Caenorhabditis elegans: one gene and its partners. The protein of the gene in region 3 interacts with the protein of the main gene of each other region in a pairwise test. Each region holds a gene or a part of one and is shown on either strand. Other genes may lie near its edges.

Evidence for each region.
Region 1: the proteins of ntl-4 (region 3) and F56D5.5 interact in a two-hybrid assay, tested with the Caenorhabditis elegans proteins (one large-scale study listed by BioGRID).
Region 2: the proteins of ntl-4 (region 3) and unc-57 interact in a two-hybrid assay, tested with the Caenorhabditis elegans proteins (one large-scale study listed by BioGRID).

What each region holds. Positions count from the first base shown.
Region 1 is NC_003282.8:9,403,172-9,411,551, forward strand, and holds F56D5.5 (Coiled-coil domain-containing protein 69), read right to left. Parts: upstream 4,934-8,380; coding exon 4,199-4,933; downstream 1-4,198. Other genes in the region: F56D5.6 (FK506-binding protein 5-like), read left to right, coding at 2,449-2,513, 2,561-2,657, 3,381-3,455, 3,536-3,694, 3,751-3,897, 5,585-5,844, 5,891-5,981, 6,025-6,234.
Region 2 is NC_003279.8:4,671,843-4,684,078, reverse strand, and holds unc-57 (Endophilin-A homolog), read right to left. Parts: upstream 8,945-12,236; 5' UTR 8,941-8,944; coding exon 8,605-8,940; intron 8,332-8,604; coding exon 8,203-8,331; intron 8,155-8,202; coding exon 8,002-8,154; intron 7,621-8,001; coding exon 7,433-7,620; intron 6,410-7,432; coding exon 6,355-6,409; intron 5,512-6,354; coding exon 5,227-5,511; 3' UTR 4,672-5,226; downstream 1-4,671. Other genes in the region: T04D1.2 (F-box domain-containing protein), read right to left, coding at 1,324-1,447, 1,498-1,766, 2,044-2,353, 3,144-3,413, 4,187-4,266, 4,316-4,408. UniProt on the Caenorhabditis elegans protein: Involved in synaptic vesicle (SV) recycling in neurons probably by regulating clathrin-mediated endocytosis. By controlling SV endocytosis, regulates the rate of excitatory postsynaptic currents (EPSCs) at neuromuscular junctions and thus locomotion.
Region 3 is NC_003282.8:7,906,772-7,919,066, reverse strand, and holds ntl-4 (CCR4-NOT transcription complex subunit 4), read right to left. Parts: upstream 8,493-12,295; 5' UTR 8,422-8,492; coding exon 8,386-8,421; intron 8,322-8,385; coding exon 8,253-8,321; intron 8,111-8,252; coding exon 8,015-8,110; intron 7,960-8,014; coding exon 7,639-7,959; exon of another isoform or gene 7,536-7,638; coding exon 7,428-7,535; intron 7,378-7,427; coding exon 7,205-7,377; intron 7,160-7,204; coding exon 7,095-7,159; intron 7,044-7,094; coding exon 6,976-7,043; intron 6,926-6,975; coding exon 6,747-6,925; intron 6,693-6,746; coding exon 6,240-6,692; intron 6,199-6,239; coding exon 5,910-6,198; intron 5,340-5,909; coding exon 4,800-5,339; 3' UTR 3,878-4,799; downstream 1-3,877. Other genes in the region: xpo-3 (Exportin-T), read left to right, coding at 1-731, 807-1,255, 1,783-1,827; C49H3.4 (Sm domain-containing protein), read right to left, coding at 2,476-2,659, 2,708-2,983, 3,544-3,755; npp-27 (C3HC-type domain-containing protein), read left to right, coding at 9,617-9,729, 9,777-9,849, 10,107-10,273, 10,365-10,676, 10,753-10,888, 11,346-11,438; cbpl-1 (Cortactin-binding protein-2 N-terminal domain-containing protein), read right to left, coding at 12,190-12,284.

The DNA of each region.
Region 1 (8,380 bases), 1.5 Mb from region 3:
TGACTCCAAGTGTAGCCTTGATGACATCTTTGGAAATTCCTTACCAGATTAAATTTAGAGTGCCAGGGCGCAAGAATTGGGGCAGGAAGGAGCTCTGAAAAAAGAGATAATATTTTTTCAATTGATTTATAAGTTCTACTCACTTTCTGGTAAATTTTGATCGTTGTAAAGAGTTGGTTTCTCGTCGTACATCCATGAAATTATGTTTGAGTTTTCTTCTCGAATTCCAACGCGGAACAAATTCGGCGGCTTGAGCATTGAACTCCGGGAGCTGCTTCGGTCGAACTCTTTGGCCAGAATTTTGGAGATTTTGTTGATTCTGTGAAGTTTGCGGTGTTGAACATGATGGAAGTTCGTCGTTTCGTGGTCGGGTGTGAAGAAAACGATACGCGCGGCCGTATGAGCATCTGAAAAGCATATAAATGAATTTTTGAATTTTTTCGCGGAAAAATTGCGAAATTTTTCGCTATTTCTCGGATTTTTCTAAAAAGTCCGGTGATTTTCCGGCCAACTCATTTCCCGACAAGATTAAAATGGCAAATATTCTCGTTGCGGGTCGCCACGTCATGTGTGGACCTGAAAATATTGATTTTTTGCAAAGACCCAGGATTCGGGGGGAAACTGACGTGCAGGCGTTGCCTTTCGAGCAATATCCGTTTGCAAAGTATCGACAATCTGTTTCATGACGTGGCATTTGCTGAAAAATGTGGAAAATTTGAGGAAAAACGGGCGAAAATGAGCAAAAATTAACGGAAATGCGACGAAAATGAAAATAAAAAAGAAAGTGCGGTGGAGCGCGTTTGCACCGGAGAAAAGCGGAGGGAAGTTTAAATTTAGTTTTTTCGTGGAATTTTCAGTTTTCGCCATTTTCGAACTTAATTTTCGACGGAAACTTGAAATAACGCCAAAAAAATTGGCTGTAATTCGATTTTGCTTTGCAAAAATAAATAATTTTCGGTAAAAGTGGGGAAAAATCGATTATTTTTCACAAAAATGGTGATTATTTTGTGGAAAATTTGATAATTTTCCCGAAAAATCAATAATTTTCCCGAAAAGTCAATAATTTTGTGGAGAAATCGATAATTTTGTTGAAAATAAATCGATAAACGGATTGTCGTTCGTGTTGCGCGTACGGGGCGCGGAAGGGGTTCGGCAGGAGTGCGGACGGGGCGCGGACGGGACGCGCACAGAACTCGGAAGGAAGAACTCGGACGCACAGAACTCGGACTTCGCGAACTTATTACTTTCAGACAGTCTCGCTGTCAAAACAGGTTGATATATCTTCACTTATATCTTATATATGTATGATGCAAGCATATGACATATAATAATTGCCAATCTAGTCTCTTTCAGCTTTCAGTAATATGGTTCCATGGCATGCCACAATACTAAACGTATAAAATATGACAACGAGACATGTGATCCAGAAAATTATTTTGAAGATGTTTACGCAAACTATACATATCTTTTATATCTTTCTATCGGAACGTATTCTTGGCATTTTAAGGCAACTTTCTGGCAAAAACCTGCCAACTCATTGAAAACACTTTAAAAGCGGAGTATAAGCCAGTCGGAATTTTGTCTAACTGTAAATACACTTATAATAACCCTAAACGGCAGAACATCATAATAAAACATTCTAAAATTTTTTAGATTTTTCAAATTTCCGGTCAAAGTTTTGGCAAATTGCCAAACTTTTGAAAAATATAAGCTTTTGAGGAAATCCAAAGGAATTTTGCATGTTCTGACCACTACAATGCTACAATAAAAATAATTAAAGCAAAATTAAAGTGCAAAAATGTAGGAAACACATTATTTTTGTCGACTTCCAAAGTTATGAGTGCAAAAACTGAGTAATTTCCACTTTTTTCACAGTAAATAAAACATTTTCAAAAATAATTGGAGTTTTGTGTTATGATATTCGGACATTTTGGCACCATTGGAGTATTTTTTAACACTTTCCTCACTGTCGTTACTCCACCCTTAACAAAGTTGGCAACAACCTACCAACAAAAGTATTTTACATCGTAACATCATGAGATCATCAGTACGATGTTTTTGATAGATTTTAATACAATTTCGTTGTAAAATCAAGACTACTGTTTTCTTCCGATCTCATATCAGAATTTCAATTGAAATTTTGGTTTTTCTGTAACTAGCATGGCTGCAAAACTTTTACAATTAACGTATAGAACGAATACAATCCACTTTTGTTCGAAAATATGTCTTAAAGCAACTTTATGTTTGCAAGAAATGGATTAATAAATCTTATGTAGACACTTTGGCAGTTTCAAAGTGTTCTTTTCACAATCCCAGCTCGCCTCTTCCGCGCTCCAGTCACGCCCTATCCTCGCGCCAGGCGCATTTCACCTCTTTCCGCGCGCCAGTCGCACCCAAGTCGCGCCCCAGGAGGAGCCAACTACCGAGCAGAGAAGACAAGGCTTGCAGATGGAACACCATTTGAAAGATACACTGAAAAAGGAAAAGTTATTCCAGCACTTCCGACCGATGAGGTAGATATAAGTATATTTCGAAAATTGAGAAATTTCATAATTTGCAGGAAGAAGTTGAAGACTTAAATGATCCGAGAATTGGGCATCTTGATAAAGATGGAGGACTTTCAGTTCCCGTCGATGAAAATGGACGTGTTTTAAAAGGTACCGTATATTCTCTATTAGTGCTGCATGCAGCACTAATTTCCAGGCACTCTTTTAATGCAGCACTATTAGAGACTGCAGTACTACTGGAGACTGCAGCATTAATTTTCGAACGGCTATTTTCAATTATAGATCACTAGTTTTTAGTCACAAAAGCTCATTTTTTAAGCAGAAATTCATAAAAATTGCGAACTTTTGTAACAAAAAGACCCAATAATTCAATTACTTTTGTAAATTATCAAAAAATCATCAAAAATATACAAAAAAAATACCCAAAAATATCGAAACTGTCAAGTGACTCTTCCAATAGAAAATGGGGTGCAGCACTAATAGAGACTGCAGCACTATTTTTTGGACATTTTTTGAATGCAGCACTATTAGAGACTGCAGTACTACTGGATATGCAGCACTAATAGAGAATATACGGTATGTTTTGTAAACGGAAACAAAGATAAATGAAAGAATTCCATGCTAGGCAGAAACGTAATACATGTATTCCTTCTAGCTTTTGTGTGTTTGTTGTCTGAAATTTTACGCATATTTTTTTTTTGAGTTATTGAAAGTTCACCTGACACGAGTATAGGAGCAAGGCGTAGACGTAGGTCGCCTTTAAAGTAGGCAGGGCATTTCTGAGCCTCCGAGGATGAATAGGCGATCTTGCCAAATTTTGCGTAGAATTTTCAGGTACCTCTGTTAATTTACTTTTAATTTTAATATTCACAGAATTCGAATATCTCATGCAACCTATCACAATTGAAATCGATATTGATGAAAAAGAATCAAAGAAAACACCAGAAGGTATAGCTTACAGAAGACATTGAGTTTTAAATCATTAACTTAAAACATCATAGGTTCAGAAAATTGTAATAAAATTCCAGATGATACTTACAACATTCCGAATGCACCACAAAATGGAGAGCAACAAGATTACAAGCCTTACCCAAATAATCAAGATTTATCACCAAAAGCTGAGTTTTTACCAGAAGGACAAGAAACTGCCGGGGAAGAATATGATGACGTTGAAAAGGAACCAAATGGTAATTTCTATAAAATATAACCTCTGAAGTATGTACGATACTGAAATATTTTTTAGAATCAGTTCCCGATGTTCCTGGATTGCCAAAACTTGATTATACGGATTCTGGTGAGTCTGATGAAGACTTGAAGACTGATGATGCAGTGGATGATGGAGAAACAAATGTCGATGGAGGCGATGAAGAGCTCAAGAGAACAGATATTGGTGAGTTAGTTAGAACTTTTAAAGTTTGTTTGCAAATAATTTAGAAAGTGATCCCTGACTTCGGAAATAGTTCAACTGTTATATTTAGTTTGATAACTTAGCTCATATCCGTCTTAACTGTTTTGCAACAGTATTTCTTGTATATTAGAGTTTATAGAAGTTTATTATTAATCGTAGACAAAGAAAATCATCAGAGAAGTGTAAGTCAAAACATTTTAAAAGTCGTACATTGAATAGATATTGCAAATTGTTCTTACGGTTTCTTAATACTCCAAGAGGGTTTCTAATGGATTGTATTCTTTTATTGAATATTGTCCAAGTGTCGCTCCAAAATTCTATTTCTTCGCTGCAGCTCCAAAATTTGAATTTTGTAATCTTTTTGCATCTCTGTATGAGTTTCCGATGCATCTCTCAGATATCCGAGCAACTCATTTTCTTTGGCAGTCATGTTCTTCTGAAGAGATTTCATTTCATTGCGAAGAATCTGAGCTTCTCTTTTTGCATCGTTCATTTCTTCTTCCATACGGCCTTTTTCAGTTAGATTCTGAAAAGTTTTTCCTTCCATGTCCACCAATAGTCTTTTCACTTCTTCTTCTTTCTCTTTTAAAGCTTCCTTGACACTTCTCGTCTCTGTTTGAAGAAAATCGACAAATTGATCCTCTGCTGGTAATTGTGGTTGGTGACCATTTTGATAGAACGTCAGTAATTCCGAAAGAAACATCGAATTTCTCTTTTCTGCTTCCAGATCCTTTTTCAACTGCTCGTGAACTGTATTTGCGATTGTCAGTTTCTTTCCCTCCCGTCCAAGTTCTTCTTTTAAAAATGCGATTTCTGTTTTCAATTTCTTGGTTTCAAGGTTTGAAATTTCAACAGAAAGATTACGTCGAACTGGTAAATTGTTCAGAGCATTGACTTCAAGCTTCACTTTGAACATTTTCAGCAGGTCATCTCTGAACTCATTCTGCTCGCGGAGCATTTGAACTTCGGCTTGTGAAGATTTCAATAACACTCGGATGTATTCGACGTTTTCAGTCATAGTTTTTGTCGGGGGGTCTGGAATGAAATACTTTTATAGTTCAGTATAATGCTATTGAAAAAATAGTGCAAGAGGGTACAGTAAGAGAATAGAAAACACTGTTTAAAAAAAACAATCGTGGAAATATTGGAACAGCAAAAACAAAGATATGTAGGCTGAAAAATGCAAAACTATAAAGAAAATTAGTCAAATCGAGAAACTGGTAATTCTCTAAAAGACGATTGATATACAAATGAGCATGTTCTTCCAAGAATACATTTGGGTGTATTTAAGGGTGGTAAATGGGCGAAGAATGCTCTATTGAGCGTCCAAGGGAGACGATGTGCTGGCCTGAAATGGGAAAATAGAAGGCCGTCTGGAGATAATAAATACCAACTTGGTACATAAAAGAGTGTCATGTTAATGATTTATGACATATATTGATCAGTCGGGAAAACAGAATTTAAACATTGAATATGTTATATCGGCTGCTTTAGGCGATCAAAAACAATTTGGATTTTAAAAATGTTGATACCAATAATCAAGATTTGATAAATTTTATTTGTAACACCAAAAAAAAGAGATATAAACTGGTAAAGTAGATATACAAGAAATTAGACTTCTAAAAAATATCGTAGTTGTAAAACTCATTAAAAAAAATTTTTATTTAAGAGGTCATTATACCAAGTAGCAAGATAGAATTGGCAATTTCAAGAGACGAAGTTGATGAAAGCAATAAATCAGCAGATGAAGTTGAAAAAGAAGTTCAAACTGGAAATCAAGATGATGGGAATAGTGAACAATCTTCTGATTTACCAAAGAATCGAGATCGTATCGATACTGATTCGGCTGTGGAAGAAGTTGGTGAGCCAGAGAAGAATAATGACAATGTGGAAGAAGTGAACGAAAGTGGGAACGTAATTTTAGATGAGGTTAGTTGTTTACAACTGTCCAATAGGTTCCATAACTTTTTTGCAGGATGAAAACATCGAAGACAACGTCGAGTTAGCAAGAGATTTTGGAAAAGCAATTTATGAGAATGTTATGATAAAGGCTAAGGAGATTGATGGTAAGATCTAGTTTCTCTGTACTCCAAAAAATTTTTATTCCAGAAATTGAAACAGAATCCGAAGTTCAAGATTCCGACGTAGGAGATGTAGATCCAAATGCCATCAATGTCGAATCAGAAATTGCTGATTCTCCAGAAGAGAGTGTAGTTGACGCAGACAATTTGGACGGTGTTGTTCTTCCTGATCAGACCCTTACTGATGAGGAGATAGCAAAGATCGCTGATGAGAGTTTGAAGCCAATTCAACCAGCAGGTAACCAGAAAAAATTAAGCAAAAGAATGAGAAGTGTAAAATAAATAAGAAAATTATTGTAAACCAGCCGATGACCGCGCCTCCGGCGCGGCCAACGACTGGCGGAGTTTAAAATGTATAACAAATAGCTGTCCTTTTAATCATTCAAAAATGTCTCATTAAAAAAAGTTGAAACTTCATCGATTAAATCGCATTTTCTCCTTCCATGGTATACGATTCAGAAAATTCAAAGAGACAGTTAGAATGTTCTGATTTTTCTACTAACACATTATCATTATCAGGCTTTCGAAAAAATTCCACAGAGTTACAGTTTTTTTAATAAGTTAATAACTTTCCTTAACTGGAGAAGTCTGAATAATTAACTACTAAGTTCTTTGAATATAGATGTAACGAAACAAATAAAAACTCCTACAGTTATAGGAGGTTGTAGAGCATTTCAGAACTTTTTTGAATTTTCCAGATGATTCTAGAACAGTCTAGAATTTTCTTGAAACTTCCAGAAGGTGCTGAAACAAAAAAATTGATTCCAGAACAAAAATTTGGATTTCCCGCCAAGCATTTTCCTCAGAAAATTTGAATTTCCCTCCAAAATCTTTTTTCTCAGAAAATCTGAGTTTCCCGCAAAATTTTTTTTCCCAGCAAATTTGAATTCCCGCCAAAATTGTTCTCAGAAAATTTGAATTCCCGCCAAAATTTCTTTTCTCATAAATTTTAAAGTTCCCGCCCATATTTTTAAGGGTCTCTCCACGATGGGTCTCGCCAGTTCCAGGTGGTACTTAAGCTAACAAAAAGTTTCTCAGAAAATTTGAATTTCCCGCCAAAAATTTTTTCTCAGAAAATTTGAATTTCCCGCCAAAAATTTTTCACTGAAAATTTGAATTTCCCGCTAAAATTTTTTCACTGAAAATTTGAATTTCCCGCTTAAATTTTTTCACTGAAAATTTGAATTTCCCGCCAAAAATTTTTTTCACTGAAAATTTGAATTTCCCGCCAAAATTTTTTCACTGAAAATTTGAATTTCCCGCCAAAATTTTTCTCACAGAAAATTTGAATTTCCCGCCAAAAATTTTTCACTGAAAATTTGAATTTCCCGCCAAAATTTTTTCACTGAAAATTTGAATTTCCCGCCAAAATTTTTTCACTGAAAATTTGAATTTCCCGCCAAAAATTTTTTCACTGAAAATTTAAATTTCCCTCCAAAATATTTTTCTCAGAAAATTTAAATTTCCCGCCAAAATATTTTTCACAGAAAATTTAAATTTCCCGCCAAAATATTTTTCTCAGAAAGTTTAAATTTCCCGCCAAAATTTTGGGTCTTACCATGGTGGGTCTCACCACGACGGGTCTCACCACGATGGGTCTCACCACGATGGGTCTCACCACGATGGGTCTCACCACGATGGGTCTCACCACGATGGGTCTCGCCACGATGGGTCTCGCCACGATGGGTCTCGCTACGATGGGTCTCACCACGATGGGTCTTTCCACGATGGGTCTCACCACGGTGGGTCTCGGCACGATGGGTCTCACCACGATGGGTCTCACCACGATGGGTCTTTCCACGATGGGTCTCACCACGGTGGGTCTCGCCACGATGGGTCTCGCCACGATGGGTCTCACCACGATGGGTCTCACCACGATGGGTCTCACCACGATGGGTCTCACCACGATGGGTCTCACCACGATGGGTCTCACCACGATGGGTCTCACCACGATGGGTCTCACCACGATGGGTCTCACCACGATGGGTCTCACCACGATGGGTCTCACCACGATGGGTCTCACCACGATGGGTCTCGCCACGATGGGTCTCGCCAAGATGGGTCTCACCACGATGGGTCTCGCCACGATGGGTCTCACCACGATGGGTCTTTCCACGATGGGTCTCACCACGGTGGGTCTCACCACGACGGGTCTCACCACGATGGGTCTCACCACGATGGGTCTCACCACGATGGGTCTCACCACGATGGGTCTTTCCACGATGGGTCTCACCACGGTGGGTCTCGCCACGATGGGTCTCGCCACGATGGCTCTCGCCACGAAGATCTCGCAGCAACATTTTTTTAATTTTCCAGAAGGTTCTAGAACAATCCAGAATTTTTTCGAATTTTCCAGAAGGTTCTGGAACATTCCAGAATTTTCT
Region 2 (12,236 bases), on a different chromosome or scaffold from region 3:
AACGCAAAAATAGAATACACTTTATTTAACTTAAAAAAAAACTTTTGGAATGAGGGCATGAAATACCCAAGTACCTAATTATCATTTTAATAATTACACACTCAAAATAAATAAACATCGTGGCCTCGTGTAAACCTTGTGTACACAGAAATTCCAAAATCTAGGCACCGCTTTTTTAGGAAATTCATGGGGACTTGGCAGAAATCGGGACACCAACCAATATCAGCCGCCGACATCTCACGAGTTCCGATGTGTTTAACTCGCTGTGAGCGTGGCGAGATGTCCCGCCGGCTGCGAGGTAAATATAGTGGCGAAAAAAAGCGTAGTATATAATTATCAAAGGCGAAATTTTTCTTTCACTGAGGTTTATTACCGGTACAGAGAGTGTAGATAGTTAGAGGGTGACAGACATCTAGGAACCAAAGGGGCGGGGCGCGGGAAGAGACTATTTGTGTCGATTTACAGAGTTTTTCTTGTTGTCAGCATTTCGTAAATCGTCTCTTCCCGCGCCCCGCACCCTTTGGGTCCCGGATGTCTGTCACTTTTCTTAACACTTTTTCTTAACAAGTGAACAAAATATAGTTCATTTTACTCATTTTGTATTCATTTTTCACTGTTTAGCAGAAGAGAGGTTGCCGGAATTGCCGAATATCGCCAATTGCCGAGAATTCGATTGCCGAACGGCAATTGTCGCTCATTGTATGCATATAATCACTTCGTCTTCATGTGACCAACGACTCAGAAATAACGTTCAAACTGGCGTTGTACTGGCCAAGATTGAACGTATTTCATAAAAATGACGGAACATTTTTTTTCTGATCTTGATTTTCAGTTGAATGTAACTGCTACATTTGTTTTTAAGGATACATCACTTTTAAAAAAAGTTTTGAAAAGGGTATTACACTTTTAGAACATCGGTGCATGAAAACGTAGGTACTTGAATTATAAGTGTTTAAAGGAAAACTGTCGAAATTGGGCTCGCTAGATGTCGGGCGCATTGGCAGGCTCCCAGCAGCAGCGCAGCAGGCTTGGCAGGTTTGTTGGGAAACTTCGAAAAATATTTTCTCGTGCAGAAAAAAGTGAGAGCAGCAGTTTGTTAGTTGAACTGTTCTTGCCGAAATTTTCGGTTTCAGAGTTCTACTCATTTGAAATGTTTGAAAAATCACTGAAAAACGAAAAACGCATTTAGTAATGATTTTGTGAAAATTTAAAAATAAAAAAAATCAGTTTTAAATCTTTAATCAAAACTTTAATAGGATACATATTACATGCATTCAGGTCTTTTTTCAGAATGTACAGACTAGAGGATATCATAAACGCATATTATAATGTTAAATCCCTTACAACAAATTCGAGAGCATATCCAATTGTAAAAAGAGTAGCAATTTGCCCATCTTTCCGAATAATATCTCGTCCATTTGAACAATCCAGGGAATAAACTCCGTATCTGAAATAATATTTAAAATAGTCTGAAAGTTGAAAACTTTTAATGTTTACTTTAATGTTTTCGGTTGATTTTCATCTCTCTTTTTGTTATCAATGCCAATCAGGATATCCTCAAAAATTTCCCAATCGTGAAACATATGTAGTCGAAGTCTTTCAAGGCTTGGCAATTTTCCAGATAACCAATGACAAATGAATTTTGTTATTTCAAATATTTGTAAATCGTTATTCCATAATATTATTTCTTTGCAGTTGTTGTTCATTAAGTCCTCTATTTTGATATTGTAAGCTTCGTGGACACTAATCCGCGGAATCTTCAGCATCTGAACTTTGTTAGACATGATATTACCCAAATAAAAAATATCGCGAATTATGACGCAAGTATAAAACACCAGGGTCAACGCGATCGAAGATTTCTACACGAAAAAGAAGTTTTAGACTTCAAAAAAAAAAGCATAAAATTCAAAAGCTTATGTTTTGACTAGCTCGTCACAAAAAAATTTTCAAACATTTTTAAAAAAATCCACTTTTGTTCTAGTTTAAACATAACAATTCTAGTTTAAACAGAAGTTTCCAAATGACATAGGATAGAACTGTTACCTTTTGAAAATTGAAATGTTTCTTCTGATCACATCGCGCATAAAATTTATGCAAATCAAACATTTTCTGCAGATTTTCCAAATCTTTTGTTGAAAACTTGGAAGGCTCGTGAAACTCTACATAATGACATTTACGAAACAATGGATGTTTAAAAACTTTTCTGTAATCTCCAAAAATCTTCTCGCGATCCGTCATAAGGTCGAGATGATCAATCGAAAATGTGTTATATAATACATTCAAATAGTGTTCGAGCTCCTTTTTGTTTTCATACGACATATATGATATTCCGTTAAGCTTCATGTTGGGATAACTGAAATGGGTTTGTTATATCCAGGGCTTCCATGGTATGCAAACTTGGTTTCAGGCCCAACGCCTGCCTGAGGCATGCTCGCCCCACACGGGCCATCCGTCTCTTATCTGAATTTTAACATGAATTTACAAACTTCTAAGTTTATCATTTATATTATTTTGATGTTTTAGCATAAGGCGCGACTGACGGGAGAGGCAGGCGAAGATCGCCTTAACAATAAGATCAGGCAGGCACGCGTTTTGACGCCTACATGGAAGCCCTGGTTATAACATATACCGTATTTTCTCTATTAGTAAGGCATGCAAAACTAACTTTCTGACACCTAATTTGATGCAAAACTAATGGAGGGTGCAAAACTAATTTTCGAACAGGTTTTTTCTCATGTTTTCCATCAAGTTATAGCATAATATCATCAATTTCAATAACTTATAAACCAAAGTGGGCGAATTTTACGACTAATACGCAAAAATTGTCCGAGTTCTACTCATATTTTGCCAATTTTTACTTGTTAAACCATAGTCTGTAAGAATTTTCCTGATTTGTAGAACGAGTTTATAATTCAAATTTTGAATACCTAAAAATAGGGAACAAATGAAGGGGTGCAAAACTAATAGAGGCGCCATACTAATAGAGGATATACGGTATGTAATGTATTCTCAAGAGTAAATTCCATATTTGGAGAAGTGTTAAGTCTTTGGGAACCATCTTTGAGTCCTCCGTTCCCGGTGGAAACGAGGTTCAACAACTTGAAACTGAATCAGTTTCAGACATAATTCAAGATGAAACGTACTCTTTTATTACGCTTCGGATCCAATATGTCACCGGAGGAGTTGTCAAGAATCTATAGGATACAGTAGTTTGTGACCACATCATATCATAAAATTCTTGATAATCACTTATGTTCTCGATAACAACGAGTTGCCGAACTGAATAAGTCTTAAGATGTTCTTGGCCACCATAAGGCGTGAATTCATGGTTGTAGACCAATAATTTATAAACTTTCCGATTCACTTGTTGTATTTTCTTCAAAGTTCTTCTTGAAATTTGAGATAATTGTAATCTGAAACATCAACAAATATAAATGTATTTCCAAAGTAAAAACTTGAGAAAAAAGGTTAACTAGGAATTAAAAGAACTGAACTGATCGAACTGATCGTATTCTTAATTGTTTAATTAATTGTGAAAAATATTGCTTTTTGCTCTATTATCCAGTTGCGCTACGTCACCGCGTCTCGAAACGACCAAAAATTAGCAGCTACCGTACCAGCAATAATTTGGAGATTTTACCAGTATCGCGTGGCATTTTACGGGGGCTCAACCATATTGTTTGGGCAAACCTTTAAGAAAAAGAGCGAAGCAAATTGCGAAACTCTTGTTGGGTACAGTGGCTACAAATTTCGTTCGTGCCGAGACCGGTCAAGAATCACGAATTTCCGTAACTGGGCAGTATTTGTCTCAGACTGGCTTTTGTAACACTGTAGATTGGGATTTTGTTCAAATACTCTAGAGCGTCGAGAAAGAATTGAAAATACAACTATTAAAACTGCGATTTTCTAAAAAAAAATTCAGCCAAAATTAAAATTAAAACGTTTTTAATGTAGTTGATCTCACTCTCGCTCGATTTGTCCGTAATTTTTATGTGATTTTATGTTATAACTAACATTGAAGGGTGTACGATATGTAATGTTGGAATAACTCACGTGGTGTCAGGCTGTCCCATGCTGGTTCGCATGGTTAAAAAAATGCTGACGTCACATTTTTTGGGCAAAAAAATCCCGCCTTTTTTGTAGATCAAACCATAATGGGACAGTCTGACACCACGGGATAACTTACACTGAAAAAATACTTAATTGATGAATAACAATTCGAAATGCTAGGTATGGTAGTTGGAGTAGATTGAAAGAGTTACATTTCTGAAACTTATAGTTTTTGATCTAACAAATAAAAATTAATTTAATTTACCTTCTTCTGATTGGAACAACTTCTACCTTTTTTAATTCGATTTGAATTCCATAGTGAAGAAAATGGACGAAATGATAGTTGCATTCGTTTCATGTTCAAAAAAAAATCGATGAGATATATGGTGCACAGGTATGAGAGCAGATGGTGCAAGTATATGACGTCACTAATAACATAACTGGGTGTCTGTTTACAGTACTCCTCGTGGACAATATAATATTCCGGATATTTCGAAATTTCGTTTTCATTTCAGTTTTTTATTGATTTTCTTGTTCATCCACTTCTTTTTTTAAACAATTTTAAAATTGATAAGACAAGAAATTTGACTTTTTTCCATCTCCGAGTTCAAAAAAAAAATAGTTTAAAATCAAATTCATATACTCGAAAATAAGTAATTACGAAAATAAGTAATTTTGCAATGAATTTTTTGATGTTGAAAATAAGTTACTAAATAAAGCTAAAAAAACTAATAACATGCTGCTATTTTAAGGGAGATTTGATAAATGCACATTTTTGGTAGTGTAGAGAGTACATAGAATACATGGTAATGTGGGTCAGGGTATTGCTATTGGAAAACGCATCGGGTGTGGCAGACTGGGGGAAAGTAGTGGATGTATATAAAGCAAGTAGTGTTTTAATAAATACAAAGATTTCGGCACAATGGATCAGGAGAATTAACTATTTTAGCCTCATAGAGACCATAGCCCATTCTCTTCTAAATGAGTACTTTTCAGGGGTTCCTAGAGAAAAAGTGAGATTTGGAAAGGGAAATAAAATATTTTTGTGAAATAAAATTCAAGAGACAAAGATGAGGAGCATGGCTTTGGAGTTGGGGAGAAAACGAGAAATTGGCAATAAAACAGCAAAAAATGGAAAGAATTGACTGGGTTTTGGAGGGAGAAATACATTTTTTTTTATTTAAGAGGCACTAGAACCTGTACATAGGTAACAGGGAATAATCCAGTTTTTCCATTCACACGTCCTTCGTACCAATTCTCATCAATTTGTGATACCAACTCAATCAGTGTTCCTTCTTTGAAATCCAGTTCTCCTTCACTTTGAGCATCAAAATCGAATAGAGCTCTGCATTGTGGCTTCTGCTGCTGGGAGAGTGGAGGTGGAAGTCCACCTGGTGGAGGTCCTTGATATGATGGTGGTGCTTGTGTTATTCCTCCTCCATTTTGTGGTGGCATCTTAAACTGGACATAATATTAGAAATTGGATTGAAAATTGAATTACTAGGTTTTTATTCAAAAACAAAATATTCTAATCAAGGGTATCGCTTTTTCGATTTTTTAAAATAAAAATTGAAAAACGAATAGTTTCGATTTAGAAAATTGATTTAAAAAATTCAATCTTCAAATTTTTTATGCTGATGGGAAAATACACAATTCTCTTATAAAAGTAACTTATTTTCAACAAACAAAAAATTCGACTTTAGAAAATTGGTTTTTTTTAATTTGTAGTTTTTTTTCGAGAAAATTTACCCGTTTTAAGAAGAAAATTGACTTTTTTTTTTCATCAACCAAATTTTTAAAAGTTTGAAATTTTTTGTCAATTTTCCCAATATTTTTCCGATTTTTAGGATTTCCGGAAAACCGAAAAATCTGGAATTTTCGTTTTTAAATTTTTAGTTTTGTCGGTTCGAATAGAAATTGATTTTGCGAAAAATTTCTTTAAAAGTTTAGACACTTCTGTTTTTTTAAAGAAAAATTATATGTTTTTTATGAGAAAAAACTAAAAAATTGAAATATTTGGTTAATTTTATCCAGAAAATTGATCAATATTTCGGCTTTCTGAAAAATCAAGAATTTTCAGTTTTCTCGTCTCGAAAAATATCTGAAAAGTTTGATTTTTCAATAAATGTTTCAAAAACATTTTTTAAACATTTTCCGGTCTTTTTACAAGTGTTTTTTTAAAATTATACCATTTTCCAAAAAATTTCAGTAATTGAAATCCGAAAAACTGAATCTCCAAAATTCGTGTTTTTTTTGTTGAAAAGTCGCACTTTTTTCAATTTTTTCTGAAACAAAAAAACGTACGGCTGCGGCTGCCGTAGAATTGTGACTCATATCCGATGGAGCAGGCGATCTGAAACTGAAGAGATGTTTTGGAAGAGGCTTTTAGCATGCAAAAAATAAAAAATCAATCACAATATGAATCAGGGAGTACTGTAGCGGGGGGTACTGTAACGAAATTTAATTCTTATTTTTTTAAAATTAAATTTAGAATGTTTTTTTGGTTGTGTCGTAGAATAATTTTCAATTTTTCGGTTTTTTCAAAGATAATCAAAAATCAAAATTTACGTTGTTTCTTTTAATAATTTTTTTTGAAATTTCTCAACTTTCAAAAAAACTTAAACTAGTCTAGCTTAAAAAACACCGAAAACATTTCAATTTTTCAATATTTTCGTGTCAATCAGTCATTAAACGATCTTTTTACATTCATATTCCTTCCAAAAAAGTATTCCTCCGGCCGTAAAAAGACATAATGCGATGTAATCAATCATAGACTCTGCATGTCTATGTCTGTGCTTCATATGTTTTCCTCCTTTTTATTACTTGTGAATGATGCTTCAGTGCTTTTTCCGTTTCTTAAGAGCACAGGGGGTTTTCTCTTTTTATGATGCGTGGGACCTTTTTAAATCGAAAACAAAAATGGAAAACGCCTAGTTCCGGCTTTATATATTTTTTCGTATCTTTTGAAAAAACTAATTTTCAGGTAGATTTATGAAATAATCTCTGTACTCAAAATTCAAAATTTCTTAAAAATAACTAATTCTATTCTAACTTCTCGTACAATTTTCATGGCGTTTCAAAGTTTTGAGAAGAAAACAAAAATCTAAATTTAGCTTTAAAAAACTTCAATTTTGCCAATTTTTCCGTGCCACAGCGGCCCGAAATTTCAATTAATCCTCCAATATTCAACATTTTTTTTGGTAGTTTATTCAGCTTTTTGGGGCAGCTCCATTTCAATAAAATGTTGGCGAAATTGGAGATTTCAGCTGAATCTCAAAAGTGCATCTCAAGAAATTAGCTGTTTTTTAAAAACTAGGTCTTTTTGAGCGTTCAAAATCTCACAACAAACATGCATTTTCTCACTCTTCATGCTTATACCAACCTGGATCTTGGAGTTCTGCTCTCATTTGCAAGAACTGATAATGGAACATGCTCTTCACGAGGCCTGGCAGCTGCATCTTTGATTCGATGGCCAAGTTGTTGCTGTAGATTTTCGAGACATTGGGCTGTTTGTCGGTGGAAATCGAGTTGGGCTTCAATGAGGGCTCGTAGTTGAGATATTTGCTCGACCTGAAAAGAATTTTTTTGTGATTATATCTAAAAGGGGAAGTGGAAAAAAATTTCAGCAGATTAAAAAAAAATTAAACTTTGACAGCTTATATTGAAAGGAATTGTATAAAATACTGATTAAAAACATAGTATAGAACAGGATCAAAATTCGAACAATCCTCGTGGCCTATGATTTCGCTAGTTAAATTTTGAAGGTTTTTCGTTGATTTTTCTGACATAAAAATTCGAAATCTTAACGGATTTTTCCCGTTTTTCTTTTGTTATATTCGTAAGTTTGAGAATAATCCTTCTTAAAAATAAAACTAAGGGTAACCGATGTCAAATAGCAAGTCTAATAGGGGAAAATAGTAAAAACTTCCAAAAAAAAATCGTAAAACTCACATCATTACTAAGCACATTGAACATTGACATTTCAGCGAGTCGCTTTGATTCTTCCAGCTTCTCCTCCGCCTGAATCATCTCATCATCACGTCGTTGCTGACGCTTTTTGCAGTCGTAGTCAAGTCGACGTCCTTTCAGTTTTGTGCGGTGGTGCTGAATAATGAATTAATAATAAACCCTTTTTTACGCAAAAAAGCTTACATTCACATCTTTCAGCTCATTATTCTGCAAATGTGTTAATGGATCGAGAAAGTTTTGTTTAACATTATCCTCCATTTGATACTTGATATCAGCCATTTGTCGATACGTTTCTGCAGCATCGTTTAGGCTCTGGAATTGAAAAAAATTGTAATTTAAAATTATGATTAAGAAGATTTTGAAGCCGTGCAAAAAATTTTAATCTAAAAAATACCGAAGTAGTGGTTTTCTAATATCAACCTAATGTTTCAATTAAATTATTAATATAAACAAAATAAATAGTAATTTTATTTTTGCTGTATTTTGGTCACATTTTCAGAAATTGCTCACAGAACAAATATTGACAAATGTTGCTAAAAAATGGGTTTTTTTTCAGAAATTAAAATTCCAAAAGGGATGGCAAACCTTTCCCAAATCGCTGTTATCACCCAATTGTTGTCCATATTTCTGCATGACGTCAGCCAACATTCCTTCTGTTTGTGGATACGGTGACGTTTTTGTAGTTCCACGAACTTTTGACAGGGCAACTTGTGTGGCCATTTTTGCTCGAGTAGCTGGATTTGGTTGAAGATATTCATTTGTTCCGGCGACGAGATCCGTAATTAAATTATACGTTGTATCCACATTTTTCTCCATTTCATTGAACACATCGTCAAGTTTTGTTGGCTCTGCGGCGCCCATCGTCTCCGAAAGGTATTGATTCGCCTTGTTGAATTGCTTACGTAACCCCGACAACGACATTTTTCTGAAAATTTTGAGTTTTAGATTCGGAATAACATGTTAATTAATTGATAATTAAAACAACTGAAAATAAATATTCAAAAACCAGACTTATTTTCCTTTAGATTTAAAACACTTGGGAATCACGGTGAGCAAGATTTGAAAGTTTCGATAAAATGAGCTTCTTGAATTCTTGGAGTTTCGCCTGTGGATTTTTTATTTTAAATGAAAGAAAATACCACTTAAAGATCAGATAAAACTGTTGAAAAATTATAAATTCTAATGATTTTGTAATAATAAATTAAAAAGTGTAAAAATAATTTCCACCCTTGTTTCAGCAGTTGGAATACAGTTTTTTTTAATCAAAATATTTATCTTTATTGTATATTTTGGTCGGTTTTCTAGAAAAATTTCGATTATAAGCAAAATTTGGCACTTTTTTCGGATTTTTCATCAAATTTTGAAATTTAAAAACTATTTTTCATAGGTATAATCTGGTATTTTCTATCAATTAAAACAAAAAAATCCACAGACCCTCAGGCTGTATGTAAAACTTTGCATTAAACCTTAAAACTGAGAGAACTAAAGGTTGAACATTATAAATTCATGAAAGAAACTGTGCAGGAAATCTAAAATAAAACTGACATCAGGTAGATCGCTACAAACTTTTTCAAAAGTACAACTCGAATTTTCAGTTCGAAGATAAAATCCTCAAAAGTGCAGTTTTCTCGGAAAAAGCATTCCAAAAAGAAATGCTAATGTGAATGATCTTATGATCTAGGATTTATTCTGATGTACACTTTTATGGTTATAAAGCATGAGAATGAGAACTGAAGGAAGTTTTAAAAACTCTAAATTTCAAAGAAAACAAGTTCCCAGTAGAAAGGTAGAGCTTCAGAAAAGTTGCAAGAAGCAATTAAAGAAAAAGCCTGCTTCGGAGCAAGAGAGGTAGTTAACCATTAACTAGACCTACTTTCGTATTCCGGAAAAAGGCGGGGACACACACACACAACACAACGCCGGACTCTAGTAAAAGGAGAAGCACGGGAGAGAAAGATGGGGGAGGAGAAGCCGTTGTGCACGGAGAGCTCCACCCCCTCATCTTCTTCTTCGTCTTCTTCTCTTCAACACCGCCAACCCCACAGATGTATCGATTCAGTTATTTTCGTTTCGTTCCTCTGTGTCCTCCATCCTCTCTGCCTTTCATTTTTTTTCTCCGACCTCGGGCGCCCTCTTTCCGCGCGAAAAGAGAGAGAAAGATGAGGAAAAACTCACACAGACACACGAAACACACTACTCTCACACATAGTTCCAACCGAAGAGAGCACCCCGAAAAAATAGAAGACGTAGATTACGTAAAGCAAAGAAAACTGAGACGAAGAAGACGCCGTTAGTGGTGGTGGTGTTGTGGGGGAGGAGAAGGTTATTCTTTCTTTTATCTATGTGGCAGATAGAGGGAAAAAAGACGAATCGGTGTATATTTGCTTGTGCATGAAAGACTCTAGCCTACCCACTACTTAATGTTTGTGTGTGTGGATAGGCATAATGATTGGGCACACTCAAGGGTTGCTACTTGGAAAAATCTGGAAAACAATTGGAAAAGTTAAATTTTATCCCGACAGAGAGCATTTGTTGGATAATGATTAACGAAATTTCACTTTCCTAGCATAAAAAGAGTTTTAAAGCTAAATATAATTTAAATGCAGCTTTTTAAAGACGGGGTTGCTTAAAATGCTAGAAAATGGAGCATAATGGTCGAATTTTAAAAAAGTGTTTAAAAATTTATAAAATTATTCTAAATTTCAAGAAAAAAAACCAATGATTTTTCAATTTTGCAAAAAAATTTATGACATTTTCTCGTAAAGAAAACTTGATAACCCGAAAGAAAATCTTCAAAATTGGTCTAAAAATCGATAATTTTACATAAATTTATAATTTTTTATGGAAAACTGAAAACTTGAGAAATGTTTGTTCATTTTTTTTACATTATTGAATTTATTCGGTCCATTTTTATAATTTTAGGCAAAATTCTAACCCTTATGTCTACCAAGATTATGCTTTTCATGCTGTTTTTTATTTGTTCATGAAAAACTTGTTTACAACTGGGTAAAATGATTTTAAAAAATTAAAATTTGAAGATATAATCGATATACAAGTTTTGAAAATGACCGCTTCCAAAGAAGGAATATGGATTTTAATGATTTTCCAGCTCTGCAAGATTTCTGGGACGAGCTTTTTTCTTCAAAAATCAGGGAACTACTAGCAAGAGATTGACAACTAAAAAAATAAGAAAAAGTGAAACTGATAAGAAGACACCCGTTAACAGATAGCAGAGGTTACGCGAGGAAATCGACAACATTCAGAACATTGCGAAAGACGCCGAGGAACTTTACATTTGAAGATGAGTCAGATGAAGTTGAGGAAGTCTAGATGATTCGATTTAAAAGTAATTAGTAGTAGGATCATGTGATAGTAAATAGAAATGTGGAATATTTTTGCGGATATTTGAAAAAAATTGGGAAAGCAGGGAATTAAAAGAAAAAAACCGCTCAAAATCTAAAACTCATGCTTTCCGTTAATTTAGAACTACCAGAATGCATTCTAGAATGAGGAACTTCAAAACATCAGGACTTCAGAATCTAATTAAACTTTAAAATGCTCATATTTCTCGAAAATCATAATATTAAAGCAGAAAGGTACACAGATACGTCATTAAAATAGCTATTTCTGTTGCTGTTAATGTAATTTTTAAGATACCAAAATAAACAAAAAAAAACGAGAGAAAACGGTGACATCATCGAACAAAAGGCGTTCACCGCAATGTCAGCTGGCTGGTGCTTCATTGCAAACGGGTCCGCAATATGACGTCGTGATGTCTGCGTACAACGCGCACGATTCCCCGCGCAAACATTTTTGAAAAAAATTGGGAAGTTGAAATTTTTAATTTTCAACTTTCCTCTTGGATTTTCGGGTGTTTCACTTTAAATTTCATTGCGATTTTGAGATTCATTGCTGTATAATGCTTAAGCGAACAATTTGCACCATTTTTGTCGTAAAAATTCTGAAATTTTCCATTTAGCGGGTATGGTAGGATTACTGTGCTTTTTTGTTCATTCCTGCAGGTTTTCTGTAGATTTTAAACCGTTGATTGGAGTTATTCAGACCTCAAGCATTGAACTTTTCCGAAAAAAAGTATTTTTCAAAAAATATGTGCCACGTCAGCACCTTCTTGTCTCTCGTTTCTCTGGACCCTCTCTGTACCGTATACTATCTCGCCGTTCCTTTGCTTCTCAGCGTCTCTTTTGAGCCGTTTATGT
Region 3 (12,295 bases):
CTATCTCTTTTGTCGATTTGTGAAATCTCATAAAACAGTTCTTGGACCACTTGTATCAGAAGTTATTACTCGACTTGCCCCTCTCCTCGCAGTTTCTCCACAAGCAGATACAAATCAATTGCTTTCTCCTGAAGATCAAGGATATATTTTTGAAGCAACAGCTACACTTATCGTTTTTGGTGATTTGACATCTGAAATGAAATCTCAATACGTCGGAGAACTTGCATCTACTTTGGCAATGAAGTTTGAAAATGGTCTTGTCGAATTAAATACGGCTAGAGCTAGAAAAGCAGACGAAGAAACAATTCAAGCAATTCTTCAGTTTATGTCGAATATTATTGGATACAGTAGTCGAATGTCAAAAGCTTTTAACAATGCACAATCTATGAAAGCTTGCAACTGTATCGATATCTACTTGAGGTTGATCAAGCTTTATCTTGAAACTCTTTCACCACAAAATGCATTCCTGCTCGAATCGACAAGACAATTTGCTCACAGGCTTGTAGTCTCAATGGAGAACGAGTTGATGCCATATATGAATGGAATATTTGATAAATTGGCGTTAGTTTCTACTGATCTGGATTCAATGCATCATTTGCTCATTTTCTGTCATCAAACTGTTGCAAAGTATAAGAAAGCGATGCTAACAAGTGGAGTTGATTTGGGAAATGTTCTAGCGATTGCTGCGAGAGCATCACTTCAGGAACAAGAAAACAATATTCCAGCTAAAGGTTTGTAAGATAATTAATTACTTTTCAAAAAATAACACATTTTTTCAACTTTTCCATATAACTTTAAATTTTCAGATGATAGTCAACGAGCTCTACTTTATGTCCAACGTGCATTCGTTCAGCTATTATACACTGTCATTGCAAGTGATTGTACTCCTGCTCTAAATACAACACCCGGACTTTTGGATCATGTACTTGAATCAGCTGCTCGTCTAGCTCTGTCATCAGATCAAACTGCTCAAAAGGTCGCTCTATCATGTCTGGCAAAAATCTCTCTGATAACTCCATCATGGTCTGCAAGAACACTTCGTGTAGCACTTGAAATTCCTTCACTTTCCCATATTACCCCATCAGATGCTGGAAGCACATTGGTTGTTCATGAAGTGTGTGCTACATTAACCAGTCTACATCAATCTGATCCGGATGGATTTACACGAGCACTCAGAGAGCTTGTTCCCAATGGATTCTCAGATCAACTACTGTCAGCATTAACCAATTTGAAAGGAAAGAATCTAGATAAACAGGTTAGTTAGTTTACTTTTTTCAACGAAAACGTTATAAAATCAAATTGTGAAGAACTTTCGTTCGATTTCAAAAAGATAATTGATTTTTCCCCAAATGCGTCATCGGAAATTTTTTGGATTAAAAAAAAAGAAAAAACTCGAAATAAAAACGAAAATTTTCGATTCTTTGGAAAATCGAGAAAAAATGTTTATAAAATTAACCATAAAATTTTTTTAAATCAAATTTTGTTTCTGGCCATGACCATGAAACATAATTTTCTTCTAAAAATAAAAAAAACTGACCAAAATTTTAAGCTCTTTTCGAAAAATGGTTTTTTTTTTCGAAATATTGGAAAAACGGAAAACCTAAAACATTTTTTAATTTGATAATTCTGCAAATCGAAAAACGAAAAATTTTCGTGTTTCGATTTTAGTGAAAAATCGACATAGTTAGTAATGACGTGATGCTCAATAAGTTCTTTTAAAATCTTTAAAATTTTCCTAAAAAATTACTTTTTGAATCATAAAAATGGTTAAAATTATTTAAGGTAATGAATCTGTATTCTTCGCTTCGAAATCAAAGTGCTCAATAATTCAATTTCAACCATCTCCCTGGTGCCCTTTTCTCGCCGTCATATTCACCATTTTTCTTTTTTCCTCGTAATTTGTAAATCAATTGTTTTTTTTGTTATTGCGCTCAATGTTTTCATATTTCCAATTTTTCGCTTAAATGTTCTTAGAATTGGATCAAGTTGTTGTTAATCTTATTCCCCTTACCCGTATTCTGATGGTTTTTTGTTTGTTCGCTGTTCAACTTTTTCCTTCACAATTCCTAAGTGCCCTTTTTGAAAATTCTATTGAAATTTGCAGACTTGACGTTATTCGGGTGTTTTTCTCTTTCTATACTCAACAAATTATGTTCCTTCCTTTTAACATCATCATCAACATCATCATCAATGCTCCCAAAAACGTTTAATGTCACCCATTTTATTCACTTCTAGATTCTTTTCCCGTTTTGTCATACACGACAAAATTGGGTTTTCATTTGACTTGCAGTAGCTCTTTCATTTTTTTTTCAATTTGACACTGTTTAATGGTACTGAATGAAAAACTGGTATATAAAAAAGTTTTTATATTTAAAAAATTTCATAAATTTACACAACTTCAGATGATAATAATTTCATTCAGACAAAAACTGTAAAAATTCCAAAATTAACCCGTTTTCTACAATTTCATGATATCTATGGAAGCATTCGTACCAAAACAACGGAATCTCCTTTAATGAAGCATGCTCTCTGGAAACGATGTTCTATAAGACGATTTGTTCCAACTTTCATAGGCCAATTTCCACCTTCTTTCCACCGAAGAAACTCTGGCAGTAGTAGTTGCATTTCTTTCCGATTTGTGAATTCTTTTTGTGCTTTTCTGAATTTATATTAATTTAGTAAACGAAGAAGAAAAAATCATTAAAACCTTCCATGTAGAACAGTTTCCGTAACATCTTTCATCATTAAATTGAAATGTTCATCAAAAGTGGTTGGTATTCCCTCGAAAATCCGATCAATTCGAATTGCCGAACGAACTCTTACTTCAATTCTCTTTTGATTTATAACTGCATTTGCAATCATCGACATTGGTCCTTCAATTGTAATCATTTTATCGTGAAATGTTATTCCTTTTTTTTCAATTACACTTCGTCCATCAGTCATCATTGCTTCCAATCGTATTTGACGATCTCGAGCTTGTTGTCTGAAAAAATATTAAAACTTTAAAATTAATTTTCCAATAGTTCGAATTGTTTGACTGTTTAAATAATCATAGGCTTTTTGTTTTGGAATTTTTGAGTTTTGCTCGCGAAAATTGCTAGCATTCAGAGTATAAATACACACAATACATAGATAGTGCAAAATTAAGAACATTTTTAAAGTACTTTTGGTCGACTTCCAAAATTATGATACTTGAAAATTGAGTAAATAATAGATACTTTTAAAAATGTTAAAGTGTTACTATTACATAGACGTCCAAAATGAGAATTTTCGTCTTATTTTACGCTCACGGGTCTCGCCACGCAGGCATCGAGCTACTGTAACTTCATGTGTTCGTGGTGAGACCATGCGTGTAAGATATGGCGAAAATTCGCATTTGTGGACGTCTATAAAATAGTAAGACTTGAAAAACATTTCAAAATTCAATATTCGGTCATGTTGGACTATTTTAAGCCGGCAACTTCGCGACTACCATAAAATATTTTACATCTAAATTTCAAAATTTCAATTAATTGAAAGTTATATTTTTTAAAAATAACGAACTTTTTACTTATAGTCTTTTCTTTTTCCTCTCTTACAGTTCTTTCATCAAAATCACAAATTTCTTCTGCAAGTTCCGGATGCAAATCCACTAGATTTTTCTCAAATTCATCAGTTTTGAAATCTTCACTATTTCCTTCGACCCCTTCGATAAGTTCTGGATTTTTTTCGGCCACGGTTTTTAAAAACTTCTCAATATCAAAATCCTCTGCCATTTTGATTTTAAAACTACCTTCCTGAAACAATGCCAATAATGTTAAATGATGTATTATTGGTTTGTGTCTTCTTAAAATAAAAATTAGCCTGTCAACTCGTCTCGTTTAATGAAAGTGTATAAAGTTCCACCAAATAATTTCTTTATTCGCCGTACCACTTTCAAAATACAAGCAAATCCAATCGCCTAAAAGAAGAAAAGCAAATTCTACTGAATACGATTAAAAACGCCCGTCATCCTGTTCTCAAACGAGGAGAAGTGAAGATTCTGGGTGATACGTGTATGAAAGAAAATGGTAACGACAAAAACTTGAATAAACTAAACTTTCAAAAGAAAAAGAAATACAGAAACCACGTTGATTCTTAGATTAGTTGAGGGTACAACTTAAATAAAGAAATCACATGAAAACTGCCACAAAAAGAGGGAGAAAGAAAATAAAAATTTGAACGGGACGCAAAGGAGGAAAGGAATGACCAGGACAGCAGAAAAAATAAAAGAAGCTATAAATAGAACCGTCCCGTTTCTAATGTGTGAATCCCAAAAAAAAGGAGAAAAAAGAAAGAGAAGCTTCATCACGATTCAGATGGTCAGCTTTGCAGTCTGTTCACTGCACGACTGTTCGCGAGAGCAACTTTAAGTTCAAGTCCGTTGGTGTTTTAGGGGGGAAAGGAAACGAAATAATCAAAGCATTTTCTATGGGAGAGGAGCAACAAACACGAATAAGAATCTGAATTCGAGGCGGAGGCGACTCCAACAAAATGAGCTAATGATACATGTCGTAAGAGAGGACAAAATGATTAAAGAAGAGAGCCAATAACATATGAAGAATATTATTATGAAGAATAATAGAATGTGTTGGAGTTGATGATATTAAAAAAGAATCATCTACAACAACCGGGAACGGGAATAATGGGGATACACATCAGAAATTTTTCTTTGTCTTTCGAATTCGAAAATGAAGGGAGAAAACGGTAGGAATAGAAGAAGATAACTAGAATGAGGGTGTGTGGGTGCTTTTGTGTGTGTGTGTGCAATTGTGCCAAAATTATCGGTTCATCACAGAAGAAAAACCGGGTGGTGGTGGGACGGCTGATGATCGCAGACTGTTCTCATGCGACCAACGAGACATCGAATTATCATCCATAAACCGAACATTTACATTTGGAAGAAGAGCTTTGAATGCATCTTGTGCAGATTGTGGCTGCTGTGATTGATGATCCTGCATCATACTTTGATGGCCTCCCATTCCGAACAATCCCATACTTGACTGTTGCTGTTGCTGTTGTTGTTGTGATTGTTGTGTCATGTGTGGAGGTGCTTGTTGTGTCGTGGAAGATCTGTTCGTAGATGGACCTCCGAGTCCTGGAGGTGGTGCCATTCCAAATGGTACTCGAGGCATCAACATGTCATTGTACATGTATGAGTTGATTCCAGCATACATCTGCTGTTGTTGATGTTGTTGTGCTTGTTGCTGCGCTTGATGTTGTTGCTGTTGGCGATTGAACAAGTCTTGTAGAAGACTGGACGACTGTGACGACTGAGACTGATGTTGTTGTTGCTGTGAAGACTGTTGTTGCTGCTGCATCTGGAACAATTTTGATCATGGATAAAGTTTACTAACATGGAAATTATTTCAGTTTTAGACTTCCGGATGAAACCTAGTAAATTTTTTAAAAAAGTTATTCAAAGTAGGTTTCTACAAAAAATAAGCAGCAGAAGACCGTGTTGAACTAGGAAAAAGCTGATATGAAATTGTTCAGTGCATTGTTTCACTACTTTAGAGGCCCGTGAAATTGCTCCAAGTCTACATTTTTACAAATTTTGATTATTTCAAAGGCATTCTGGAAATTTTTTTTCAAACCATAGGTACCTTTATCATCGAAAAGCTGCAGAAATACACGTCTGGAGCCATTTCACAGACATCTAAGGTAGTTAAATAATGAACTGAATAATTTCAGATCGACTTTTTTCTAGTTCAAAATAAATACTCTTCTATCCCGAGCTACTTTGATGGTCCGTTTTCAAATTCCGAAGGTTTAAGTAATTTGGAAGTCTAATTATTGACCTCGAATACTTCCTTTCTGGTGCAAATCAATATTTTGTCAAGAAACAAATGAACTCGCGAAAAAAACAATTTTTCTAAATTGAAACTTACACTTCCGAATGGATGTGAAAATCCAGGCGTCGAGTCGAACTGTCTCTGCTGTTGTGATTGCTGTTGTTGCTGTGACATAAGTCTACTATACATATAGTCCTGTTGCCTGTTCATATCTGCTGCAAACTGTTGTTGTTGATGCTGTTGCTGTGCATGTAACTGATGAAGGAACGAATGATGTTGATCTTGATTCTGTTGTAATGGATGCTGTTGATGTGATGATTGAAGATGTTGTGGATGCTGCTGGGTTGACTGTCGCTGCTCGGGTAATTGACCAAACAATCTAGAACTGCGAATGATTAGTGAATATTCTTATCCTATACTACTTACTGTTTTAACACATCTAAAGTATGATTTGATGCTGAATTGTGTGGTGGAATCTGTTCTTGTTCTTCTTGTAACAACGCTGACAATCCCTTTGATGATTCGGTGAACGGATCGAATCCAAGATCATCGTCTGAATTGAACCTAGCGAGACCGGGTGGAGGACTAGCCTCTCTTCTGAACGACGGTGTGCTAGATGTGTGTGTTCCGAATAACGATTGTGAATTGAATCCTGAATCCATTTTGAACGTTGGGAATAGTGACGAAGGTTCGACGATCGTTGATTGTGCAGAAGGTGATGACAATCCGAGCAATGCTTCCCATTGCATAAGAGGAGCTGGTGCTTCTTGATGCTTTGCTGGTGCCGGAATCCCAAGATAATCATTTTCTGAGAATGATGTCCGGGCCAGCCGGTCGTCATTTACATCTAATTTTGACATAAGATCACTAACATCGTTTCTGAAAAGTTCAATTTTTTGTTGATAAATAAATGAAATTTCTGAAAATTGATACCTATGGATGTCCTCTTCAAACTCGTTTTCATTTCCTTCAGGATCTGTAGGAGGTGTATTGCTGGGCGCCACTGAAATTTCGTCGCGTTCTGACCACTGTCGCTCTCTGGCTGTCTGATTACTCCGTCTACTGTTAACTGTCTCATCTGCTGGATTTGAAGGTGCCGGGTCGTCGATAGACTGAAAATAAAAACTTTGAAGCTAAGCTTTAAAAAAAAAAATGCTATTACATTGCTTGTGTTCGTAGAATCTGCATCATCATCATCAGGATCATCCGCACACATGTGTATCGCTGAGCCTGCAGAATATTCAAATTATTTATTTTAAGTTAAAAGATTTTAGACTAAACCTGTTCGCTCAACGTCATCAACTGTGTCAGAATCATCTTCAAGATATCGCCGTGGTGAATTTGACCTGTAAATCGATTTTTTAAAAAATAATTATCAATTTATTGCATACGTTGGCGCCAGTATTTTATCCAATTGTGATGCAAGTGTCGATTGTGGCGGCGGAGGTCGGCTATTCATCGATTCAATTAATCGTTTCTCGTATTCTGTGTGCTTTCCAAGATGCATATCATCTTTTGTGAAACTTATTTCAGCTTCAGCGTTTTCATGCAAATACATACATTCCTGCAACAAGACGGATTATTGATCATGTGGAGGTGGGCGTAGTTACGAACACCGACCGGTTTGAAACACTTCCGACTATTCAAAAATGAAGAACAATACTTGGTTGTTCCAAGTGATGCTTTCACTAACCTACCATCCAACATTGAGTTATGTACGCCCTGAAAATAAAATGTTAACAATGGGAATTCAAGTTTATGCAGAAATTGTGTTTTTATGCAACTCAAAAGGTGGTTTTAATATAATTTTTTAAAAGAAACTCACTTGAATTGCTCTTAGCGCGTCATCAACTCTTTTATACGTTACGTAAGCCGTATGACTAGGTGGAAGATGAGGTGCAGGTAATGACGGTGTCGCACTCGTTACGATCTTCTGAATTTTACCGTACCGACCGAAATACTCATTTTTCTTCAAAATCTCAGGATCTGCTACACGAGGTGATAATCCCACGACGTAGACAAGATTCTTTTGGAGTACACGGTAATTACAAAGATATTGGCGTGCATCCGATAATTTCAGTTTTTCCGCTTGTTTTTTCAATCGTTGTTCGTCCTTGTGTTTTCGCACATCGTCGGTTGTCATTGGCTGAAACATATATATTGTGGAAATCTTGAGAAATAACCTTAAGAATTGAACAAACCTTAAAATTGACAGGGTCTTCAGGATATGGCTGCCGGCAAGCAGGACATAATCCATTTTCATCGGTTCGTATACGATGCCAGCAAAATCGGCAAATCTGAAAAAAGAGTTTCGTTTTAAGTCAGAGAAGAATTTTTTGATGACAATTTATATACGCAAGCAACTCATCTTCCTAACGCGGATATTTCTGATTTTCCTATTTTTAATTTTAGTTGTTAGATTTTCAAACAAAAAATTACCTGGTACTCGCATTTGCATGGATAAAAGTTGATGTCATCCAGTTCAAGGGTCTCCATGCACAAAGGGCACTGAAATTATGAAATTGGATTTTTTCAGAAATATTTCAAAATCTGTTTCCGAAATCAAACTCACTTCCTTATCGCAACTTTCATCGCTGCAGGTAGACATTTTGGCGATAGTCGTGGAAAACAAGTGAGGATTGAGAGTAGGAACACTGAAAAATGAAAAGACTTGAAGGCAGTGAGAAGAGAAAAACGAGAAGTGCAGCATGACCAATTGGTCGATCAATAAATCGAGTGAGAGAACGAGAGAAGACATGCGAAAGGCACGCAGACGGATAGAGTAAAATAAATTGTAAAATGAGAGTATTAACGCGGAAATTGTTAGATGACTACTGAAATACAAAAAGGTTATCTGGAGAGTTCATTTTAGAGAAAGTGCTGCACGAGGAAATTTCTAAATTCGCCGCGGAAACGAGATTTTGCTTCATTAGGCGTACGGGAACCGAACCGCATATCGCGATTTGATTACAACGATAAGATAGTGTTCCTTGAAACAGTTTCGTTGAATCGATTCGTCTTCTGTCACATTTCTTCGCTTTTTATTGAATTGTTTTGGATTCATTCATTTTCTTCGCGCAATACTTCAAAAAAAAACAGTGAGTCAGCAAAATCAATAAATTGCGGTATAACTGGGCGCAGCGTGTTCATCGTGATATTTAGAATACATTCTGCTAGATTGTAAAAAATTGCGCGAGAGAAAAATGTTTATAAACTGAAAAATGGGCATATTTCTCGAACATTCTCTATAAAACAATTGTAATTTTATTGAAACTTGAGAATGAGTATCAGACACTGTCGAAAGATGTTAAAAAACATAAACTAAATTGAAATACGTTTGTCTCGCTTTCAATTACTCGCTGGAAATTGTTAGAGAACAAAATCACGTGACCCGTATTTTCAGACTGTTTTATCTCGACTCTGTCTCACACATTCAACATTATTTTTATATAATAGAAAACTGGACGAGACTGGCTTTCCTTTGACATATCAATTTTCAAGATTTATTGATTTTAGGTTAATGAACGGAGCCTGCAAAGAATTATTGATGGGCTGCGCGATGGCGGAAGAGGAGCGAGAGGGGGGCTGCAGTGAAAGAATTGTGAGAGAGAGAAGGCAGACCGCTGCGAGACCCATTCCCCGTTATAATGCGTGCGTCTTTCGCTCGGCGTTTCTTTGCTACGGTACCACTCAGAACAGTGTTCGTCTGTTTTATCGGAAATTTGTCCTAAATCTCAATTGCATCCATTTTTCCAACATCGTCATATTTTCTTCATTTTTTTCAGGTAAAAAACAAAATAATTATGGAGGTAGATACGGCAAGTAGCCGCCACTCAACTGTGTTAAAGCGAAAAGCGACCGATTCGATCAATGAAATTCTTAATTACGGACAATCGTCGACTAGCCCACAGAAACGGTCAGTGGAAAAACGTCTTCGTATTAATTCGAATTTTATTTTTTCAGATGTAAGAAAGCTGCTTCTCTTCACAAGTACAGAGATATGGAAACATATCACAAAATTATCAAAACGTACAAGGTGGGGTATAATCTTATTCGTATTTTACTCTTCTTTACTTTCGGGTTGAAAATACAATAAGATTTTCAACAATTCTTTATATTCATTCACAAAATGACAATGTCCCAAAATTATCGATTTATTTGTTTCTACCGGCCAGGTTCCGTTCGAAAAATTACTTTGTTTCTCGAAACCAAGCTACTTTATATTAAGTTCTCACAGAATCCTTATCCTCAATAATTCTTTTCGTCTTCTTTTCGTCATATCGATTTTTTCAGGCACCCACGTGGTACGGATGCGCGGTCTCTCCACGTGATCTCGCAGACTATGGATGGGCTTGTGTGAAGAAAGACTGTGTTAAATGCATTGAATGTGAGCAATACCTCAGCACAGTTCTCCCGAATATTTGTAAAGTCTCATTCAACGTCTACAACTCATCTCTTCAGTGAGTTTTTCAAATTTAATTATTAATTCATAGAATAGTTCCTCTTCTGTGAAAGTTAGGATTTCGGGAGAATTAAAATTATTTTTTACAGAGATATTCACGAAAAAATGACGACAGCTCACCGAACAACCTGCAAGCTTCGATGTGGTGCTCCACCATTCCGAATCGTTGAGCCAACAGCCAAAGAAGTAATGGATGGAATTCAACGGAGATTGTCTGATTCTAAAAAAATTATCGATGAAGACTTGAAGGCTGATATCCCATCAGATGTGAATCTTCCGAAAATTGAAGGAGTTCCAGAACAACTTATTTATGTAGCAGCTCTTGGATGGCATGTTTCGATGCCAAAACGAGGATCTCTTCTTTTTGGATGTGACAATTGTGCCAGAGAGTTAGCCATTAGGTTCGTGAGCTAAATTAAAAATTATAATCGATACTCGTTCTAGTTTTTTCCTATTTTTCCAATTTTCCATTTCCAGGTGCGGAAACAAATTTGATCCGATTCACAATCATGAACGTTGGTGTCCTCGGATTGAAATGGATGATCACGGGGAACCAAGTTGGCAATCTGATCTCAACACTGTCCTCAACACAAAAAATCATGTGACTAACCGAGTAAGTGCTCGCTAATATAATTACTTGAAAACTTTCATTTTTGCAATCCAAAAATTAAACAAATCAGCACTATTTGGCTTCTGTAGCGCTATAGCAGACATTATGACTGAGATCGTTCCGAGACCCATTTGAAAAATAGCGTGTATCTTAAAACGACATTCCCAAATATCGCGAAATTACGATATGATAAAAAATTTTTGAAATTGAAAAAAATATAGAAAAAAAAACTTGATTAGTTTGGAAATAAAATTTATTTTTATTGAAAAACTTGAAAACAATATCAAAAACTACTTGAAACATGCCATTTATGAAAGTAATGGTGTATAAATTTTGTCGGCAAATGATTTCTACATTTATTTTAATCTTAAAAAGTTTTGTAAATTGGCCGAGGAGATTCGCCGCCAACACCTATACTAAACTTGAAAAATTAAAAATTTTATTTTTTTCGTAATTTCAGTACACTGGGTCATCGATCTTCAAAGAAGCATACGCGGCTCGACGTCTTCTCGACAGTTCACTTTCTACAATCATCACACCAAATTATATTTGATGCTTTTTTCCAATTTTCTTTCGTGTTTTGTCCCGCGACATCTTCATCCAGTGCCTCTTATGAATCGTCTAGTTCTTTCTTATTTTTTGCCTTATTTTCAGTTGGCTCCAACCCATCCAACCAGTCATCTCACTCTTTTTGCACTTTCCAGGGCCCCAAATCTTTTTCGATCACATTTTTTTCTTTTGCCTCACATTCGGAACACTTTGATTTTAATATAATAGTTTAAAGAATGATATTCTTGACAAATTCGCATCCATCAATATTAGTAGAACATGCTCATCATGAAATACCCCTTTTCCTTATTGGAAAATCGACCATAGACGGGTCCATATCGTCTTTTCATTCTATTTCCCCCTCCTCATTTGTGCCCTACTTGTACTATTCATTCGTGAAAATAGACTTTGTTTTTTTAAAACGAAAATATTACAAGTCCTCGCTCGTTCCTCTACCACTAGGCTTCAATCATTTCACGGATCTTTTCTGACTTTTATAAACTAGATTTCGTCTTTTTTTTAAATGAACAATATATCTCGAATTTAATATTTTCATTATACGTGCAATATTTAATTTGATCTGATTTTACACGAAATGAAAACTATAAACAAACAAGTAAGAAAATGATGAAAAGTGCGATAAAACATTGTAAGAAAATTGAGCAAAAACTGAAAGAATGAGAGAATCGTAATACCCATGAATGTTTGTTAGGTAGAAGTGCAGATAGGTAAGTTAAGATTTTGAATATAAAATATCATTTCGATGATCCAAACGCTTTTGCGAGAATTCCGTTCCGCTTTACAGTTCCAGAAAGTTTTCGTTCACTTGCCACGTTTGACGAAGGTCCGGCTGAAAAAAGA